Linked DNA regions of Ovis aries. The protein of the gene in region 5 interacts with the protein of the main gene of each other region in a biochemical or structural test. Links are inferred from orthologs where the notes say so. Each region holds a gene or a part of one and is shown on either strand. Other genes may lie near its edges.

What was found.
Region 1: the proteins of SMURF2 (region 5) and SMAD3 form a complex in vitro, tested with the Homo sapiens proteins (2 studies listed by BioGRID and IntAct, with this or other methods). The link is inferred for Ovis aries from reciprocal best matches to the Homo sapiens genes SMURF2 and SMAD3.
Region 2: the proteins of SMURF2 (region 5) and SMAD2 form a complex in vitro, tested with the Homo sapiens proteins (3 studies listed by BioGRID and IntAct, with this or other methods). The link is inferred for Ovis aries from reciprocal best matches to the Homo sapiens genes SMURF2 and SMAD2.
Region 3: the proteins of SMURF2 (region 5) and SMAD1 form a complex in vitro, tested with the Homo sapiens proteins (2 studies listed by BioGRID and IntAct, with this or other methods). The link is inferred for Ovis aries from reciprocal best matches to the Homo sapiens genes SMURF2 and SMAD1.
Region 4: the proteins of SMURF2 (region 5) and RNF11 form a complex in vitro, tested with the Homo sapiens proteins (3 studies listed by BioGRID and IntAct, with this or other methods). The link is inferred for Ovis aries from reciprocal best matches to the Homo sapiens genes SMURF2 and RNF11.

Annotation. Positions count from the first base shown.
Region 1 is NC_056060.1:13,982,756-13,986,963, reverse strand, and holds part of SMAD3 (mothers against decapentaplegic homolog 3), read right to left. Parts: intron 3,528-4,208; coding exon 3,315-3,527; intron 2,288-3,314; exon of another isoform or gene 1,211-2,287; coding exon 1,018-1,210; exon of another isoform or gene 1-1,017. UniProt on the Homo sapiens protein: Receptor-regulated SMAD (R-SMAD) that is an intracellular signal transducer and transcriptional modulator activated by TGF-beta (transforming growth factor) and activin type 1 receptor kinases.
Region 2 is NC_056076.1:47,828,956-47,833,163, forward strand, and holds part of SMAD2 (mothers against decapentaplegic homolog 2), read right to left. Parts: intron 3,840-4,208; coding exon 3,716-3,839; 3' UTR 1-3,715. UniProt on the Homo sapiens protein: Receptor-regulated SMAD (R-SMAD) that is an intracellular signal transducer and transcriptional modulator activated by TGF-beta (transforming growth factor) and activin type 1 receptor kinases.
Region 3 is NC_056070.1:12,846,942-12,851,149, forward strand, and holds part of SMAD1 (mothers against decapentaplegic homolog 1), read right to left. Parts: exon of another isoform or gene 2,537-4,208; intron 2,284-2,536; 5' UTR 2,106-2,283; coding exon 1,706-2,105; intron 1-1,705. UniProt on the Homo sapiens protein: Transcriptional modulator that plays a role in various cellular processes, including embryonic development, cell differentiation, and tissue homeostasis.
Region 4 is NC_056054.1:25,719,981-25,724,188, forward strand, and holds part of RNF11 (RING finger protein 11), read left to right. Parts: intron 1-914; coding exon 915-1,086; 3' UTR 1,087-4,208. UniProt on the Homo sapiens protein: Essential component of a ubiquitin-editing protein complex, comprising also TNFAIP3, ITCH and TAX1BP1, that ensures the transient nature of inflammatory signaling pathways. Promotes the association of TNFAIP3 to RIPK1 after TNF stimulation.
Region 5 is NC_056064.1:48,569,515-48,574,503, forward strand, and holds the start of SMURF2 (E3 ubiquitin-protein ligase SMURF2), read right to left. Parts: upstream 3,374-4,989; 5' UTR 2,904-3,373; coding exon 2,852-2,903; intron 1-2,851. UniProt on the Homo sapiens protein: E3 ubiquitin-protein ligase which accepts ubiquitin from an E2 ubiquitin-conjugating enzyme in the form of a thioester and then directly transfers the ubiquitin to targeted substrates.

The DNA.
Region 1 (4,208 bases), on a different chromosome or scaffold from region 5:
TGCCTCTTGGCAGGCAGGAAGACATGCCGCACTCGTGCCGGAGGCAATGGCCTGAGCCACACAATCCACCTGCCGGGCGCAGTCCATGCTCTGCGGCTGCGTGTCCCGGGAGGAGGGGCCTCGGGGCTTTCTGCCTCGGCTTTCTATGCAAGGTTCTAGGTAAGATCAGCCTCTTGCCTGGTCGTCTACCCAGAGCTGGCCCTGTCCACACCACCCTCTGAGGTGAGCCAGGTGAGTCCTCCACCCCGTGGAGTACGTAGTCCTACTCAGAAAACCCTCAACAGTCCCCTTGAGTAAACGTGATCTCGTGTCCTTCCATGGCCCAGTCCCATCCTATTTTCTAAACATATCCCCAACTGTCTTAAACAGCCTCCAGCACAGCCAGAGTGCAGTCCACACGTGCCTTGCCCTCCTTCACCCCCAGGCCTTTGCCCATATCATCCCCTCTGCCTGGAATGCCCTCAGCCCCTGCCCCCATCACCCTGTGCCTACCCCTTCCACACTGGTGCAGGCCCATGGCTCCTTGCAAGCTCAAATGCCTTACCCTCCATGAAGCCGCCTCTGAACCATCCTAACAGGTAAATGCTTCTCCCCCTGGGTCCCACAGCATGTGACCTGTGCTGCTTGCTTTGTGCTTAGCACCACCCTCCCTTGTATTAAGCACATTTGAGTCTTTGCCTTGTACACTCAGCTGATGGGTACACTGAGAGGGCAGCAGCAGGGCTTCCTGTACCCTCCCATCCCCCTGCAGCTTCCAGCATGGCTGTAGGAAGGAAGGAGGAAGGGAAGAAAGACGCAAACAAGCATACTACCTCAGCATCTGTGCACACAGGCAGGAAACAGGTACCCACAGATCAAAGGTAGACCTGTCAGATGCTGCATCTGTTCTGCGGAGGTTCCAGGAGGTCACGGTAAGACAGCAAGGCACAGAGAAAACTCAAGTGAAGCATCTCCAGATTGTCAGTGCAAACACCAATGAGGAGAGAAGGAAGAAGAAAGCTTTCCGGCATCCCAGGCATGCGCCGCAGAGGAGAGGTCCACAGGGAAGGGGTGGGTGTGTAGGTGGTGGTACCTGGTGGAATCTTGCAGACGGTGGCTGGGTGCCAGCCATAGCGCTGGTTACAGTTGGGAGACTGCACAAAGATGGCGCTGTCACTGAGGCATTCTGCGAAGACCTCCCCTCCGATGTAGTACAGCCGCACGCCCCGCCCTAGAGAGAGTCAGGTTAGCCTGGACCAGCTCTCTGGCCCCCACACAGTGGTCCTGGCGCCCGCCGCAGCAACCACAGGAGGCAGAGCTGCAGTCAGTGTTCCAGGTGGCTGGTTCTCCAGTAGCATCACCAGGCAAACGGGACCTGAGTCCAGGCCTAATCCCACCAGGAGGTGCTGGGTGATGCTGGGCTGCTAAACTAGGGAGGCAGACAATGAGAGGAAAGAGCACAGGTAAGTCTTAATGGTAGCCTCCACCAGTGATCTGCCACAGGCCCCAGCCAGTTACTCAGCCTCAGTTTCTTCATCTGCAAGATGGAGATGATGATAATACCTACCTCACGGGTGCCTGGTGAGCAGTAGCTGTTGCTGCTACTATTAGGTCCCTTCCCCTTCCAACATTCATGTAGTTGGAAACTCATGTAGTCAACCTGCAGAGCTGCTCAGGCAGCAGACACCCCAGGAGCCCTTCACTGCAGGCATGGCTTAATTAACGCCACCCCCTGTACCTTTCTCCTCTCGATGCGTTTTTCTAAATCATTCCATAGGTCTACATCATTTCGTGTTCCTTCATCTCTTAAATCCACTCCAGATGGACAGAAATTATTTTTAAACTGGCCCTGCAATTCAAGCGGTTACATAAACCCTCCAACAATCCTCAGCAATCCTCGGCCAGGGGATGTACTCTTCTGCCTGGAAGGCCTCTGTTCCCACTCCAGGCGGGGAGAGGCCCTGAGGGCCGGGAAATGGAGCCAGATTTCACTCGACGTGGAGTGGGATGGAAAGCAGGTGATCGGCTACAGGCCTGCCACCTCGTCCCACGGCTGTCCCCTGCCCCCACTCCCCTGCTCTGCCTGGCTCGGTGCTACAGGACTTGGCGTCTCGAAGACCCCAGGGTGCCGGCAGACCCGGGGAGGGGGTGCCCAGTATTACGTCAGTCAAGAGCAGGAGGCAGAGGCAGAGGTGGAGGTGGGAAGACAAGATCCAAAGAACAAAAATGTTTGTTTGGGTAACTTTTAAAATACTATTTTTAGATACAGAGAAGTATGAAGTGAATAAACAAACCTCTGTGTATACCACTGCAGGTCTTTTTAAAACAAGTGGGAGGCTGTCTGGGAAGGGTACGGGCTTGGGGCGGAGGTCTCTGTGTCACACGCTTGCTGTGTGCCCTCTGCCCCTCCCTGGAAAGTGATCCCACTGCTGCAGGCCCATGGCTTTCCAACTCTTACCTGGAAAACCCTCTCTCTACACGAGGTCTTCTGTGAAGGCCCACGATACAAGCAAGAGCAGAGGTGCTCTGGTTCACATGGGCCCGGACCCCTGCTGCCCTGCTCAGCTCTTGAGTTTGCTCTAGAGCCCCTCGGCCACCGTGGATGCACTGAACAATGTCTGAGAATACCCACCCTCTCTACACCATCTCTACAACCCTTCCAGGTGACCCTGGATCGCAAAGTTGTGAACATCCTCAGCATGATAATTTTATGAACAAACCGAGGGACACACATCAAGGCTTCACCTTCCCTATACTAAGTGATCTTTCACCACGGGCTGGGGCTCAGAATACAGTGTTAGCAGCAGTGCTGTCCCAGCTGCAGGCAATGAAAGTGAAAGAAAGGGAAAGTTGCTCAGTCGCGTCCGACTCTTTGCGACCCCATGGACTATACAGTCCATGGAATTCTCTAGGCCAGAATACTGGAGTGAGTAGCCTTTCCCTTCTCCAGGGGATCTTCCCAACCCAGGGATCGAACCCAGGTTTCCCGCATTGCAGGCGGATTCTTTACCAGCTGAGCCACAAGGGAAGCCCAAGAATCCTGGAGTGGGCAATACCTCCCGTCTTTTCACCTTTTCTAAGTTCCTAGGACAACTATATATGAAATGAACAAATGAAAGATCACTCCTCCGAGACAGTCTATCTACTGGTCTGCGCTCCGTACTTTAAGGGTATTTTTATTAAGAGAATGGCACAGCTGCAACCTGGATTCTACCTGTCTTACCCTAAACAAGGGGACAGAGCCTGAGGGGCAGGTGAGGGGGGCGCGGCACAGTGGCGGCCGGTGGGTCCCCGCGGGGGCTGGGGTGGGCTGGGGTATCGCGGCCGCCCCTTACCGATATGCCTCCGCGTCAGCTCCACAGCCGCGTTCCGGTTGACGTTGGAGAGCAGCCCCAGGCAGAAGCGCTCCGAGTTGGAGGGGTCGGTGAAGCCATCCACCGTCATGGACGGCTGGGAGGCGTGGAATGTCTCCCCGACGCGCTGGTTGAGCTCGTAGTAGGAGATGGAGCACCAGAAGGCCGGCTCACAGTAGGTGACAGGCTGCAGGTCTGGGGAGACAGGCCAGGCTGCTGGGTCAGGGAGTCCCTCGGGGCTCTGGGCTCCTGGGTGGGGTCCCCTGGATGCCCTGGAAGACTGTTTCCTCACCTCTCAGAGGCATTATGATCTCCCACCCTGTTCCTGTGCAAAACTCGCAGGATCTGGGGGGCAGAACCCTTAGGTTTTGGGAGACACATTCCACCGGCCTTGGCACTGTTTAGCTTGAGCTCATAAAGGCCCTGCCCCGCCTGGCCTTAGGTCAAAGCCATCTTCAAGGAGGTGCCAGGCCAAATCTGAAAGGCCCTGGGACCAACAGACACCTGGGCAGATGCACCAGACAGGCCAGGGGTGTCCAGGGCAGTCTGGTCCCGCCACCTGCCTTTCTTTCAAGGTCCCCATAGTAACCCGTGCTGGTCTCTGCCCCCTAAAAGGGCCTGCAGCTTCCGGTTCTGCCTGATCATGGGCCAACTCCTAGCCCTTCTCGCGGTAGCGTCCAGGCCTGTGAAATGGCCAGAAGATGAGGCTGGTGCGACCCCGGGTGTCCATCCGTGTTCAGCAGTTGCAACCACACAGGCACCAGGTGCTGTCTGCGGCGTGAGCCGGGTCCCTGCCATTGATTACGGAAGCTATGCTCCACACGTATCCAGGTGCCATCCATCGGGGCGGCTGAGACACACACACCTAAGAGAAAC
Region 2 (4,208 bases), on a different chromosome or scaffold from region 5:
AGAGAAACCAACTGGGTACACATACTCTTTGATTTGATTTGAACTAGAAAGAGACTAGACTGATTGTTTTTCACCTTCAAAATCTTAGTCTTGATGAAACTGACAATAAAGGCACAAATAAAGTGAAATTGAAATAATTTTAACAAAGAAGAAAATCTGGCAATGTCTAAAGAACAGATGAAGTAAGCAAAAACCTTAAATATGATTTAAGGTTTAAAAAAAACCTTAAGATATTAACAACTTGCAAGTATATACTCAGAATACAGAATAAGAATACAGAACAAGAATATTTAGGTTTCAAGAAAAATTAGGCAGGTCTTCTTCTGACAAAGTGACAGGTCCTGTGGGAGAAAGTAATCCCACAAGACTAAGAGTCAGTACCAAATCCCAGTCATCTTACCACTCAACATCTATCACACTGGCTGGGTAAAGAACAGGCATCAGTAAGTGTTCATTGAATGAAGGTATATCATAACGTGCAATTACACTTAGTTAGTATGGTGTAGTTCAAACCCAGTCAGGAAAGTCAACCTTTTTTTAAGCAGTGAAACTTTTAAAAAAAGAAATCTATGTAGAACTCCAATACAGAATAAAAATGAAGCTGCCACTGGCCAGCCAGGCCGAAGCCAGTGGGAATAAACTAGCCTCCAATTCCCTAAACCAGCCCTAAGATGTATGTAATCCAGTGTGAAAACCACCATTTATTTTGAAAATGTGATAGAAGGCATGATCCTTCAGTTCTCATGTTGTTAAACTGAGGACATTACCAGCACTGTGTAGAAGAAATTCTAAATGATGCTAATTTAAATAAAGAAAAAATTCTACAAAGAGGAGATTGTATCAATTAGAAAAATGAAAACAAACCCTGTAAAGGGGAAAAAAAAAAAAAATCAGCAAAAATTAGGCCACAGTGGACAAAACAAAAAGTAAAACCAGCATCTCATTAAAAAGCAAATTAAGACCACTGAACATATTCATACAAATGTAACCACCACTACCACCACCACCACCACCACCACCACCGAGTCAACTGCTTGACTGGCCTAACTACTGAATACAATAGGTGCTTCCAAAGAGCTGAGTCCCAGCTTCATACTGTGTGTAAGAATCCCACCATAACTGCAGAGATGTGACCCATTACTGAAACGCTATAGACGGTACTGCTTTGCTTAACCTATCAATGCAAGAGTACCAGCCAGGACTTTCTACCATTTTGAGTTGTTCTTTGACCCCAGATAAGGAGCAGTATTCCCTAACATCACACGACTTCTCAAGTACAAAGGACAGGGCCTCCACACTTTCAACAGGTCTGACGGTGGTGATACCTGGGACTTTTATACCATCCACAAGGCGGGCTGTACAAGTAGTAATCAGTGGGCAGCAGGACGCCTGGAAGCAGGCAGCCAGCTGCTACAGTCGTGAAAATCTGCCCAAGGCAGAATTAAAGAAAGGGTTGCTCCATTAAATGGCAGTGACCTGGCGCAAACTTTTTATAGTAAGGACTTGAGGAAGAGGAAATACTAACAAGAATGACACATGAAGCAGTCCATTATAAAATAAGGCCACCTTCAACTATTATAAATTGTAGAACCAATCTGATCCTCAAGTTTGGATCTGTGAAGAGGTTTTTGTATAAAGCATAAACACCTAATAAATGATGAGTTTCCTTTAAAATATGCCTTTGCATTTGATGCCATTTTCTTTGCCAAGAATGCCTATTTTTCCCGGGCTCTCCACATGGCTTGCTCCTTTCTCATGTGTTAGCTCAATCATCACTACTTTACAGAAGCTTTCCCTCTGCTTTGCTCTATCACAGTACCCTGTTTATCTCCTTCATAGACAAATATGCTAATTAAGTGTTAGAGTAACTGCTATCTTGGCAAAGGCAAGGGCCATAGCTGTCTTGTTCACCTTTACCCAAAGGCTAAGAAAGTTCCTGGCACATGTAACAGGTGAACAATAAATATCTGTAGAACGAAAACTCACTCTACCACGTTCACATGAACATATACATGCCTACACAAACACAGGAAAACGGGGAACATCCGACAGAAGACAATCGTGTGTGGAAAGTACTGAAAACATCCCCTGTACATACAGGTGAATATGGTTATAAAACACAAGTACCAACCAAAGATAATCTGTCTTTAAAAATATGAAAACTTACTAGAAAGGGACCAGGAGTGGTTACTGGCTGTTTCTACTGAGATGCAAACAAGAAAAGTTTAAACTGGAATGAGTTAATAAACTAAGTAAAATAAGGATTATCTGCTGTAGAATGACTTCCAACAGAGCTTTTGACACCTCTGGTCACGCCTGTCCCTGCAGAGCATGAAGTATGGAGGCTTCTAACCGTCACCACATATTCAGGATTAGTTAAGAACAGCTCAGACCACAGGTATCCATAAGATAAAAAACTTGCTAAACGCCTTCTCCCCCAAATTTTACAATTCAGAATTCACAATTACGTAAAATAACACAGATTCTATAAATTTAATACAACATACCTTAAAAGCAGATGGCCCCTATCTGCTGATCAGACCTCAGCACTGCTTTTCTAGGTATTCTGCAGAAGCAATTACATTTACAAAAGGTCCACTTCATAACACAATCTGGTAATTAAATCCAATGAAATTCAACTCAAAAGAGGTTTGCTACTGAAATATTTGAAAGTATCTTTTAAAAAGGGGGTTTATATTTTTAGACTGAATTTTCAGAAAGGATAAATATATTGAAATAATTGCAGTATATCCCTGAAAATAATTATACTGCCACCTGTGCACTTTTTATGAGGTGTAAAGATAAATCAAAAGACTGCCAGGTTATACAAGCCTCTTATTAACTGTTGAAACTGAAATTTGGTGTAAGACAAAAGGGACTTACTCCATATGAATTATCATTGTACCGAGAATTAACTGGTGCTGGCAGTATCAGTACAACCATTGATGGTGATGGATGTCATGCTACACTGTTTTGATGGAAAAGTAGAAATGGAGGAGAGGTTTAGAAAGATTTCCATAAAGTTTCCTTATAATGAGATTTAGCAGTAAGTAAACAAACACAGAAAGAATGAATATTTAAGACCCACTGAACACATTAAGGTCAAGGATTTCAAAAGTTAATCCACTTTTCTTCCCCCAAGAGTTTATTTTTGGTAAAAGGCAGAAAAATTAGTTTTTCTACAAGGGAAATCTGCTTCTAAATGATAATTTGAAAATCTTGATATATATTATATATTAAAAAAGACACACAAAAATAACAAAAAAGTGGGAATAACAGATTAGGTACTGTAACTTTATAAAGGCTTGCCTAAATCAAGAAGCAGCACACACACACCTAATTTATGCAAACTAAAAATGTATATAAACAGCACAATACTGTGATACTGGATCATGATACATTACCTGTACACATAACTACTACTGTTATTAATAAACCTTTGGGACACTCAGTTTTATGCCCAACAAGACATCAGAAAGTCTTTAAAATCTTCTCTTCCTCCTTTACGGGAGAGTATTTCTAGACATTAATTTTCCCATCTAATATTCGAACATAGGAAACCAATTCCACAAGGTGCTTTAATTGATGAGACCTCAAGTGCTGTTTTCTCTTGAATTTTTGGATAGTAAACAGTCCACGGGGACCACACACAAATACTATGACAGAAGAGTTGGTACATTAAGTCTTTTGATGGGACTTGATTGGTGATGAAGCTTTATGACATGCTTGAGCAACGCACTGAAGGGGATCCCATCTGAGTTAATACTTTGTCCAACCACTGTAGAGGTCCATTCAGATGAAGTTCAATCCAGCAAGGAGTGCTTGTTACCGTCTGCCTTCTGTTTAAAAGAATGAAAGAAAATAATTACGAAACCAAAAGAATAACAGGGATATGGAAGAACTAAGATAAATCAATAGGTTGTATATACGAAAACCTAGATTCCTTTTTGAACGAGTATTAAGTTTGGACATCTATTATTTTGAAAACTGTTTAATCCTTTAAGTCTAACAAAGTACTTATAATGCTATAAATAATCACTGCCAGGGCAAGAGACATAAACCAGCACTGTCCCAAGCAAATCAGAATATATATAGTCACTTTACTTATTAATCATCCGAAGAATAGAAAATACTCAAATAGAAAATGAAGTCCAAATGGAACAGAGTTCAGACTTAAAGTATATCAAAACAAAAATTCTGACCCAAGC
Region 3 (4,208 bases), on a different chromosome or scaffold from region 5:
TTATAGGGACCTCAGTTTTGCCGTTTGTAAGGTGGGATTAGAATCTTCCCTCTGTACCTCTTAAAATTACTATGGGAATCAAAAAGCCATGTACCTGAATGACCCTGTTGTATATATTATATGTTAAAATTTACATCATGGTGGATCTAACAAGCAGTGAAAGAATGCGTATATTAGAACAAGGAGAATTCATCAAGATTGTTGGAAAAAAATCAAGTACAGTTCTAGCCATGAACAACTGTAACAAAATGTAACTTTTAAAAGGATACAATAAAACCTGGTTATCTAGAAATACTGATAAACCTAAGAAAAGATGTGCAAGAACTTTCAAGGAGAAAACCTAAAAACCTAAATAAATTTAGAAAAATATTATGCTCAAGAGCACAACTATGTCAATCCTTCCCCACATGAAATCGGTGAAATTCAAATGAAACCTCCTGAGGATTTTTCACAGGCCTTGACAACGTAACCCTGAAGTGTGTAATACAGAACTCACAAAACCATGATGTTGAATGAATGCAGCAAGCTATAGAAGGATACTCTAATATCACTATACAATACCTTTAACTATTCAAAATACCAGTACATACTGTCAAGGATTCATACATACAAAACAACAGTAAAAAGCATGCCTGGGAATGATGTCCATCAAATCTAACCATCAAATTCGGAACAGTAGTTACTGAAGGCAACTGGGTGGTGGATACAAAGATGCTTATTATTCCCTTTTGAAATGTCATAAATATTCCATAAGAAACCAGAATGCTTTTCATTTGACAGTCAGGTTAGTATGGGATATAGCATAGTTCCCAAACACCAACCCAATAGCCCCTATCAACACTATCTGGAGTACATGTGACACATGGACCAAAAACCAAAAAACAAAAACATGGATCACTGGGCTCTGCCAGAATAAGAATTTCTGGGAGAGAGCCACATGAATCTAACACACAGCCTCATTTGGGAACACCTGGTAACCATCAGCTATTAATAACTAATCCATCAACAAATTTGATTCCAATCTGACACTGAGATATTTAAGTGCCTGAGATTGCCTAATCACTTTCCAACTGATGCCACTGTCTAGAATGTGGGTCTAATTAAAGTCAAAACCTAGTAAATGTTAAACCTTTATTATGCTTCCTCCACCCCCTTCAAGGTCACACATGTAAAAACTAGGAGTATCTCATATAAAGTAATAGTATCAGATGATTCCACAGCAGAACATAATTCCTTCATATCCTCCACACGGAGTATGCCATCACAAAATTCTACTGGAGATGATAAAAAGCGCTATTTTTAAGGATAAAGTGATATAAGTCACTGGCAACCACCCTCAAGTATGTAGACAGCAACATCATGCTTCTTTCCTGATTTTCTTCCCTTGCAATAAAATCATAGCTACCTCTGTCTTGAGAAATGCACAGAACCAAAGGGAAACATAAAGAATAAATTTAGCAAAAAAACCAATTTATGGAAAGGTAGATGTATTAATGCCTCCATGACAGTTTTCACAGCCCTGCTCCCAAGACATAAAGTTAACTAGAGACTATGCTGTTAGAACGGATGACCCTTTCAAGGACTGACAGACATGACTTTTCCCCTAATTCTTAGAAATTACAACAACAAAAAACACATGGAAAGGGATGATTTCGAGAAGCAACACAGATCTGCTCAATGCCTCTACAGGAACGGACTCACTCACCGGGGCTTTCTACTCGCTTATAGTGGTAGGGGTTGATGCACACCTCCTTCTGCTTGGAGCCGAAGGGAAACTCGCAGCATTCCAACGGCTTCAGTTCGTGGTGGCTCTGAAGGTCGGGCCAGCGCCACACGCGGCAGTAGATGACGTGAGGCAGCCCCTTCCGGTGGGAGACCTGCAGTCTGCCGTCCAGGGAGCGGGGAATGGTGACGCAGTTACTGGGCTGGCCCGGGCAGCTCAAGGCCTTTTCCAGTTCCTCCATGGCACCCTTCTTTTTCTTCAGTTTTTTCACCAAAGCATCAACGGCCTTCTCTGCCCATTTTTCTTCCTCGTCACCCTGTTTCCAGCCAAGAAGTCTCTTCACAGCTGGACTTGTGAAGGAAAACAAACTTGTCACGTTCATGATGGTGCTGCGCACACTCCTTGTGGAGGGAGAAATACAGACGTCCCCAAACGCGGAAGGACAGTGAGAGAGGCTTCACTTTATCTACATAAGATTCTCCTTAGCTGCTTCGTGCGGAGGTCCTGAAAAGTAGAAATGACCATTCCTGGTGTTTCCAAAAGGAACCCAAAGCGAGCACCTAGAAAAGAAAAAAGGGGAAAAGATGTTTAAAATCATCTCCACCACAAAATCACAATTTATTAAACAATTACCATGGGCCAGGTACTATTTTAAGCGCTTTTATGTATTACAGTGTGCTATGGAATGGACTATGCACCCACCCACCACCAAACTCATATTGAAGCCTCAGTGCGACTCTATTTGGAGGTGGAACCTGGAGCCTTTAAGGAAGTAATTAAGGTCAAATGTGGTCATGAGGGTGGGGTCCTAACCTGAGAGGATTAGTGGCCTCATAAGAAGGGAGAGATTTCTCTCCTGCCCTATGTGTGCACCCACTGAGGAAAGGCCACCTGCAGAAACAGAAAGAAGGCTGCTGCCTACAAGCCTGGAAGATAGCTCTCACCAGAAACCACACTGGTTGGACCCTTCATCTTGGACTTCACAGACTCCAGAACTGTAAGAAATGCATTTTATTTAAGCCACTCCATCAGTGGTATTTTGTTATGGCAGCAGACCAGCACAGTATTTAACCCTTTAAATAATTATTTCAACTAGGTAATACAATCATTGCAATTTTATAGATGAATAAACTGAGATGCAATTTAAAACGAAGTATGCTACTCTTTATACGAGTTATGAGGTAGAAGCAAAAAAAGTTCAAGTTCTCAACAGATACTGTGATATTTTATATTTATAGTCACTCATGGGCTCTAAAATATTTATTTCAAAATATACCTCAATCAACAAAAACTAAAAGCAACAGAACTACAACAGTCTTAACATCTGTTTTTGGTTTGCTCAAGTATCTCATGCTAAAAGAAAAGGTAGTTAGTTATATTTATACTAGATAAATGTAGCAACATTTTAGGGTCTTTATTCAGTAAATAAGTCTATGCCTTTGGACTATTAGGGAATTAAGGTAGGAAATTCATTCTCTGCTTCTTCAAATATGCTTTTTATTGACGTGAAACGAATCAAATGCATGAACCCATACTGTACCAAATACTTTAGTCAAGCTGTTTCATTTAAACCTTCCAGTTACTCTTCACTAGATAAAAATGCAAATGGTGAAAAAGATGAAAGATGATAACTTTGCACCAACTCCAGCTAAGATTGCATAGCAGGTATCCAATCAACCTCCTCCCCAAACAACTATAAAAGTTGAATAAAATACAAATGAATAAATCAAGGTGCGGGGCGGGGGGGAAGCCCAACTTTTTAAAGGCATCAATAAGTAATCAAAGTACTCAGGACATGAGGGGCCACATCTGGAAAGATGTGAAAAGTGATGAAGTGATAAGCTAAACATTCTTCATTGCTTTTCTTCTCAAGGCATTTGCCAAAGCTACATTGTAAGAAGCCAAGTAGAAAGAAGCTAAAGGACCAAGCAGAGATTTCAGGAGTCTCACAGTGTTGAGGAGAGTCCCCCCATCCAAAAAAAAAAAAAAAACAGAGTTGAGGGCCTGCCAAGGAGAAATTCTGGTAAACATACCAGGTTTTCCGCTGAGACCCCTGAAGAGGTATGCCCTAGTGCAAGGGCTAAACTGAAATGGATAGTGTTTAGAAACAGCCTAGAATCATCTTAATACTAGACTAGATCAAGATGAAAGGAAAGAAGGAGAGAAAAACTGTGAGAGAGGATTTGGTATATTGAAAGTTACTGGCCAAAGACTTTCCAAAACTGGCAACAGACATCTAGCCACAGATTCATGAAGCCCTACAAATCCCAAGAAGGAGACATAGAAATCCACAGGTTTTCATGTGTCATATCATGGTATAATTGCTGAAAACCTACCACAAAAATCTTTAAAAAGACACAATACTTTCAAATGAGTGCAATAAGAATGACAGCTGACATTTCAACAGGAACAATGAGAACAAAACCACAGTAAAATGGTATCTTGAGCCTGCCAAATGTAGCAGATAGCTGGTAACTCAGAACGC
Region 4 (4,208 bases), on a different chromosome or scaffold from region 5:
TGAACTAGTACCAGCATTGCTGGTGGCCTAATCAATTGGTAAAGCCGTTTGGCAATATTTCACAGACCTTTAGATCTAAACCCTTTGAGACAGTTAATTCTAGAGATCTATCCTAGAATATGTACCTCACTTCAGCTCCCAGAGTTTTATGCGCAGAGATAGTTACCATAATTTTAGTTAGTGAAAAATAATAATAGAGGAATACTTTGGTAGGTTATATAGGGATTAAAATTGTTTGCTAAGGATTTTAGTGATATGAGGAAAACCTTATCCGTTTCTTAACTTATAGAATAATTGTACTAAGTCTGATGAGTTAAATATAAAATTTTACTTCAGGGAGATTTTTCCTTCAGAGTTCATTATTGTTTGAGAATCCCTGAGAACAACTATTTTCCTTGTAGGTTAAGAATGATCTTTACCAACAGACATAAAGTAATTTATTATGCTGTGCTTGGCTGTTTGAGCTGTAGCACCATTTAGGTTTAGTGGTTCTGTATTTACATGTAGTTATTAAATTGAAAGCTGTCTGGGCTTACACTGAAAACTCAGTTCAAATAAAATTAATCTAACATGGTTTCTTGTCTACTAAAGTTTCACATCCTCCTTAAGGTGTCTTCTGTAATATGTAGCTGTTTTACAAGCACAATTCTAGCAGTGAACTTGATTCCTATCTGATACGTTTCTCTTCGTTGATTGCTCTCAAACTCTTCAAATTCCCAGGTGATTGAAAAAAGAGATTGTAGCAGGATAATGCTAGGAAAAAATTCCGTCTGGATGCTTAGGTGATAGAATGACAGGAAGCCGTTTTTGTCTGTTCATATTAACATTGTCTTTGTAATGGGGATTTTAAAGAGTATTCTAGATAGATCACTTGTCTAAAAATGCTTTCTCATTTCTCTCCCTCACCCCAACAGGTGTGTGATCTGTATGATGGACTTTGTTTATGGGGACCCAATTCGATTTCTGCCGTGCATGCACATCTATCACCTGGACTGTATAGATGACTGGCTGATGAGATCCTTCACGTGCCCCTCCTGCATGGAGCCAGTTGATGCAGCACTGCTTTCGTCCTACGAGACTAATTGAGCCAGGGTCTCTCATCTGACTTCAAGTGAACCATCATTTTTGGTGGTTTTGATCTTTTGTCACTGAGCCCAAAGAGCCAGGGATTAGGAATTAAGATCATGCACAAAAGTTTCCTAAAATTTCCTGAATGGCTGCAGATGTTGGGGAAAAGTACGTGATATTTTAGAAACTAAGGGGGAAAAGTAGGATGGTATTTTTATGTAAAGCCTTGACCCAGTGTTTAAAAATATAATTGTATTTAGATCTTGTTATTGCTCCAGTACATAGGAATTGTGTAAAGTGTTACAGCAGCTGTATATGTTTCAATTGTGTGTGTCAAAGATTAGGAAAAAGATAGTGGTTGTTTTTTCCTAAATGAAATAACTTTCTTCTTCTCCCCCACCCAAATTCTTTTCTGAAGTTGCTGGCATTTGGGTCAAGGTTTTATTAAAAGCTACATTTTATAACACTGGCACAAAAAAAGTAGTTTTAAGCTTGTTTGCACAGTTCTTTTTTTCCATTGGAAATGGAATTCATTGCCTTAGGTCTTTTTTAAATAGTGTATTATTATCGTTGGGGCTGGCTCTATGCTTGAAAACCAGTTTATTTATAACCTGTTATAAGTGCTATATCTGTTTGCAGTTAGGAAATGCAGAATTCAAAGTGATCTCCTAGCTTGTAAGCAAACTGAGATGCACTATCCCTTTTCTATTAAAAATCAGTTAATGTGTCAAGAAACCAACTCTAGTAAAGTCAGGTTTAATATTAGCCTTTCTTATGTGTTTCATCTAATTATTTTGGTTGTTAATAGGTGATAATTATTTTGGTTGTTAATATGGTGATAATTAAAAGTCAAGGTAAATTTTAAATATTAGGAATTCTGATTTATTGAGCTCGAATTATGCCACCATGCTTATGTAAAAATGAAAGTGGCAACATGGTTAAACTGAGAAAGTTTCTCAGTTGTAACAATTTTGATTTTCTCTCTCCTGTGACCTTCTTCCCTGTTGTCTTGAACCATAGCAAAAGGATACTGCATCTCTTGTTGTATTGCTGAGGTTATTGAAGTTACACAAAACACATCTCAGTCTCTGTTTCTTAGAAGGAAAGTCCTGCTAGTTGACTGACAATTCTAAACAGGGAGAATTAAGATAAATGTGTTTAATTAATGTTTTGCACACAAATGCAGAATTTGTATAACCACATGACATCATAGTTGTGATCTCAAAAAAAAGACTTTCTCCTTTATCTTTTTCTTGCAGTTAAATGTAGGAATTCTCTGAAACTCTAAGCTTCTGAAGTGTTAGAGGTAGAGATGGTCTAGCAAAGATGTAGTTTGTAATGTTTTATCCATTTAGCATGTGTTTATTTTTTGTTATGTACTAGAAGATGACATATTTGTTTGGCTCAGTGATAATTACAACTAAAAAATCATTCATTAGCGAAAGGAGAAGCAATCTCAACCTTAACAAATCAGAAATGTTTCTTATTTTGTATTGAGTTGAATATTTGACTCTTTAACACTTTTCTACATACAAAACACAAGTCAAGTCTCTTGAAGGGTTCTTCATAATTGTATTAAGAAGAATTTAGTATGTCAGAAGCACTTAAAGATTTGACATTCAACTGTAGCAGTATCTATGTTGGTTAATTTTCTTATGAGCCCCATGATGAGTTTGAGAAAAATTGAAAGAAATTATAGATTATCAGGTTCTGTTAAATTGTTACATGTATCTTCCTTAAGTTTTTGTTCATTAATTTATATCCAATTACATAAAGCAAATTTGGAGGAAACACCTGAAGTTGTGCAATATTTTCAGCAATATTACTTTTTTATCTTTGTGTTTTCTACTTAAACATGATGTCTGTCATCAAGTATTATAGTCAGACTTTCTTTTTTTCTAGATTGTCAAAATTGGTAAATGAACATTTTTTTTAATCATCTTCTATGTTGCTATTAGTCTTTCTTTATTAACAAGGTTTCTTTTACAGAAGTTTGGCAGTAATATTGAGGGAACCAGGATTGAGCTGAATTTTTTTTTTAATAAGGTACTTTGTATTCTTTAATTTTGATCTCTACATACCATGTTAAGAACCATCAATTATGGCTTTTACCAAGTTAAATAAAGTTATAATACAGTTGTAAAGGGCTAAAGTTAGAATTGATTACATAAGAATCAGTTCTCCCAAGTTATCTAATCCTTCCTTCAGAACACACATGTACAAATTTAATTAATTGCCTTTAGTTTTCTAGGTATATATATAAACTTTGGGGGAAGTATTTTTTATGGCTTGGCTTTTACTATCATCTAATCATAAATTTAGAAGGTTGGTAGCTTCTATATTTTCTAAAGCAAATAATAGGCATATTACCCTGTTATCCGGCATAATTGGGATTGGGTAAGATGTGTTCAGGCTTGGCTGTAGGATTTGAAATGTCTGAAAAGCCTGACCAGGAAAAAAATAAAAGAATCTTATTCTTTTAAATGTAAACCATAGAAGAAATACTTTCAGATACTTGGAGTTTGGTTCACACAAACTTTTTAAATGCTCTGAGTGTTCTTTATAAGGCGTCTCTTAAAACAGGTATTGACTCTCCAAACTACTTTCAGTGTCTATATGACATAAAACAGAATATAGTGAGCATCAGGGTAACAAATTCTCTATGTGCAAACCTCCTCTTTAGGGAAGCATACATTTTTAAAAAGGATTAAGAATAAAGGAATACAAAGTAAAACTGCCTGTGGTCCTTAGACTGAAAATGGCAAACAGAAAAGGTAAGTTTTTTGGCATAATTCATAAATGTAGACAGTTGGTGGCCATGTTTGCTTACAAAGGCATTGGCTAGCAGATCAGTTTCTCAGAGTCAACTGAGGACACTTGACACTTGCATGTTAAGTGCATCATAGCTAATCAGCTAATTTTTTAAGCCTTTAAATTTGAAATCGGTGGACATGAGAAAAAGTGGATTTTGGGGTAGTATCTCCTGAAGTAATGCTAAACTTACTCACCTGAATTTAAAGATCAGCTATTCTTTTACTGGGTAGGGGAAAAGTTAGGTAGTCTGTAGCCCCTGCTTGTGTCCCCTGTGTAGCTCCCCTTTTCTAGACTTCCCGAAGACTCAGGCTCGGTGCAGGTTGTCC
Region 5 (4,989 bases):
TAGCACTACCTTCTTCGCATCAAGAAGTATCAAACAGTTTGCCAGTTGACTGTAGTCTTAGGAATAACATGTGGAAAAGTATAATATCTGTTGTGTGCAGAGATCTCATGGTTCAAATATTTTTCCTTCAGTTTGTGCGTACATGTGAGAATGTATATGTGGGGGGAGGGGTGTGTGTGTATATCTGTGACAAACACCATGCAAAAGCTGTTTACATCTTTCAGTAAAGGGGCAGCTCTATGTGAAGGACATAACTGAGTAACTACAATTCATGAAGCACCTTGAAATCAAAGACAGTCTATAAATGTAAAATACTAATATGGTATTAACTTAAAGCAAAGAACAATTATTTTACATCATCTGACAGTTCAAGTATACTGTAATCCAAATAAAAATTCACTATGGGATTTGCTCCTCCCATTTTTTAAAAGTAATTTTCCTCTATTATGGAACCCAGATCTAAATGAACTGTTAAACACTTAGTCTAAAGGTATGCCAAACATTTCTTAAGGTCTTAACAAAGAATCAACCTTTTTTTTTTTTTTTTAAACAAAATGAGGCCTAGGTTAAATATTTTATTTGGCTTCTCAAGATGGACTGAAAAGTTGGGCACCAGCTCCAGACCAATTCCTGGACGCACATCAAACACAGCCCTGTCATTTATCCAGTCAGTCAAAACAATCTTTTCCATCTAACTCTTTAATGTTTATGTCCTAAAAAGCTGCTAATTGAATCCAGCTCTTAAAATCTATTTGTTAAAATCTATACCATCTAATTTGTAAGTGGACAAAAATGAAAAAATACATATTAACCTTCCTGGCAAAACAGAAGGGACTTCTACCATTCGTAACCAAAAGGAAGAAGGCGAAGTTTTTAATAGTTAAATAGTTTTCTCTTAAAATATGACAGAGACAAATTCCCAATGGTTTTAAGAAACTGAGAGTATCTAAAACTGTTTTTACAATTAAGGGGACAAAGTGTATTTAAAATTCCTCAGAAAAATCTAAAAATACAAAATTACTCTATAGATTTAGCCCAGTATTCCCTATCCCTTCAAAAATAAGTGTAATCTTTTCTCCTAACTTTACTCATGAATTTTTATAATGTATCATATGTAGGAAGAAAACCACAGATAAACACTTCAAGATCTTCTGAATCACATTAAAAACCTCAAACTCATTTTATCTGCAAAAAGTCAAGAGCCCTGTTTTCTCCCTCATGCTCTCATCGTGTATATAACCTAGAAGGAATTAAGTGGCCACCAGGCTATTTCTGATGCCTTTTGCACACCTGGAATCACAGGTTCTTTCCATGATCACTGACACAAGACTGACTCCACAGAGGAACAGCAGTAGATAAACTCTACGACAAAGGTCCCTTACAAAGGTTTCCATTGATTAAGAAAATAAGGAAACTGAATGGGGGGAAGTAGGGGAGACAGGCATCCCCCAATCCAGGTTTTCCATTAAGAACCACTCAGTTAATGATTCTTTGCAATATTCTCTAGAGAAAGTAAAACTGTCATGAAAGTAATATATTTTAAAAATTGCTGCCAACATACAGTCAGGCTAAATTCTCGAATACCTAATTCACTGCAAGTTTTTATCTCGAAAGTTCAGCCAGTGGACTGGGATGTAACAGACAAGCATTCAATTACAAAATTAGTCCATATAAATCTCAAAGTCTAGTGGAGACAAACATAATTACAGTTTATTCTTACACACGCACCCACACACACACACACATTCTCTAAGGAAAGTCATCTTTCTCGCCACATATCCGAATATCAACCTGCATAATTTATTAATAGCGAATAATGAAGCCAGAATTACAATGGTTTCATTTACACGTTTCAAACTCCAAATAATTTTTCCCTAAAATGGGGTAAAACGACCATGTAAGATCAAAAATGTACTTGTAACACTAAAGATCTAACACACCTGGGATCATAAACACTTCGTAAGAAAAGCCTGCTATCCAGCAACCCCTCCAGACATTCTTTTCCATTTAGAAAAAGGAAGGGGAGGAGAGTGGGGAGAGAGAGAAAAACTCTGCTTCAAAGTCCGTTTGAGCACAAACTTAGAAAGGGACTCAAAAAAAGTGTGTTTTTAAAGCAGGTCTAGAGTTAGAAGCGAGACACAAGTTCTGCGGCCTACAAGGAACAACCCCAAACATACTACCCTACAATCAAACACTTCCAAAACACAGAGGGTACAATGAGCGCGAGTCGTCGGATCAGGCAGACACACCGGAAAAGTCAACCTCGGTCTCCTTCCCTATAAAGTCGTGCGTTTCAGGTGTGTGGAACCGACGGCTGCGCCTGGCAGCCGAGAGGGAAGGTTTTGCACGCGGGCATAAGTGGGCGAACAAGTTAACAACCGGGGAACACACACACACACCCTCCCGTTAAGCGCTCCATCTTTAAGGAGTGTTTACTGCGCGCAGTCAGCAGCCGGATTCAATAATCCCCGCCACAGGAGCTCCTCATCCCCTCCACGACCCCACCTGGGCAGCAGCCCAAGGGCTGCTCCCCGACGCCCCGGGAGAGAGTCGTGCTTCTCGGCCAAGGCTTTTCGACCTCAAATCCGCCTGGAATTCCAACGGGGGGACCCCCCCCCCAACAACAACAACAAAAGACCCCCGAGTCACCCTTGGCTTTTCTAAGAATCTCCCAACGAGGGAGACTGGTTTTGCAGTTACTCTCCCTGAACTAGGCCTTCCCACGTCCCCGACCTCCCACTCACCATTGATCGCGACCCTGGCCCTTCTCAAGGCCACAGGCACCCCCCGCCGGCTCGCCCACCCCGCCGCCGCCCCGGCCTGGCTCCCGCCGCCCGCCCAACCCCCTCACCTGTCAGGCGCAGCTTGACGGGCCCGTTCCTCCGGCCCCCGGGGTTAGACATGTCCCCGGCGGCGGGGGCGGCGGCGGGGCTGCGGCCGCGGCGCGGGGCCCGGGGCCCGGGGCCGGCGGGCGGCGGGCGGGGCGGGGGCGACGGTGAGGCGCGGCGCAGTCACCACAGCGGCCGGGGCTGGGGCCCGAGCAGCCGGCGCCGCGGCCGCCACGGCCGGAGGGTCCCGGATGTGCCGAGCGTCGTCGCCATGAGCCGCGGAGGGAGCGGGACGCCGAGCTCCCCCCTCCTCCCACTTCTCTTTCCTTGGCCCGGGCCGCACAACAAAGCGGCAGCCGCGGCCGGCCGCGCCGCCTCCGCCCGCGCCCCCGCCGCCTCCACGCAGCCTCCTCTGCCGTTCCCTCTTCTCGGCTCGGTGAGGCCCAGGAGCCGACGGGGCCGGGCGGTTGTGGCGGGCGGTGCTCGGCGGCGCCGGAGCAGGATTCTGGGCTCGGCCGCTTCCTCCTCCACCCGCCCTCTTGTCTGAGGAAACCCGGTCCTGGGGCCGCCGCCGCCACTCAGCGGCTCCGGGGGGCGGGGTGGAGACGGGGGCGGGGCCGACGAGGCGGGGAGGGGCCGGGGGCGGGGCCTGGGCGGCAGCGCGCGGAGCACCGAGGGGGGGCGGAGGCGTCAGGCCTGGCTTCGGCCTGGGCGCGGCGGTCCGGGCTGGTGAGCCCTGCTGTCCCACGCAGAACTTGAGGAAGGAGCGGGCAAAGGATCTGGGTGGCGGCGCCGACCTCTGTGGTGCCAGGAGGGCCTGGAGTTCAACCCGCTTAAGGGAGAGCTTTTGTCCGCGAAATACAGGCTGCCTTTATTAGACGCCCACCGCGTGCAGGGCGCTTCTCTGAGAGGCAGGGGCCAGCGGTTAGAACCGAACCTGCTGCGGTCCGGATTGAGCCTCGGCTGGAGTGAGGCAGGAGAGGCTCTTCCCACACCGAGGGTTCCGGCAAATCCCTAAGGGTATTTTGCTCCTGGTAGCGTAGTTTCCACCTCCATCCAGGACTCACCTGGTGAACGAGATCAGGTTACCAGCCTGCTTGGGCTCTTTTTTTCAACTGTAGCGCAGGGATAGGCGGATGATAATGCCTTAAAGGATAATTAACAAGATAAGCCTTTGAGAGCAATGTATGAAAGCTCTTCGTACAGGGCTGTATTTTGTTATCTCAGGAGGAAAAAAATAGAAAATGAAATAAAAATAAATGTACCTTACCCTTTGACCCTGTAATTGCACTCAGGAATTTATTCTTGATATAATAGTACAAAAGATGTTCTTGCAAAATTCGGTTAATAACAAAAGGGAGACGAGCTGACAGTCTAATGGCGAATTTCATTACATCAACCGCATAGGTTTTAATGCCCCCATTTAAGTGGCAATTACGAAGATCGTATAATATGGAAGAGTTTATAAATAATCAAAGTTTAAAAGCAGAATAAAAAGTGGTATCTATGCATGCAAAAGTGTACATGGAGGATTTTTTGTGTGTGCTGTTTTGCTTAAGGCTACTACTATTGCAATTTTAAATGTTTAATAAAATCTGATATATTTTAATCCTGTGTCATTTGTCTCTTTTAATTCATCAATAATGTCATTTAATTCTCCAGATCAAGTTACCTCCAAGAACTTCTCATCAATCTGGGTGAAGTGAAGTGAAGTGAAAGTCTCTCAGTCCTGTCCCACTCTGCAATCCCATGGACTATGCAGACCATGGAATTCTCCAGGCCAGAATACTGGAGTGGGTATCTGTTCCCTTCTCCAGGGCATCTTCCCAACCCAGGGATCAAACCCAAGTCTCCCAGATTGCAGGCTGATTCTTTATCACCTGAGCCACAAGGGAAGCCCATAAGGAAGCTCATCAATCTGGATACAGTCCTACAAATTAAACTGATGCAAAAATTATGTAAAGTTCCGGAAGTCGGACTAGAAATTCAGGAGACAGTGCTAGAAATTCATTCCACAAATGCTGAGTGCCTGCTATGTGCAGTAACTCTTCTTTGTGATACACAAGCTCTGAAAATACATTAAACAATTTCAACAATGGTTGCCATTACAGTTTAAAAGACTAGACGAATAATGGCAATAAAACTTACCAAACGGATGTAT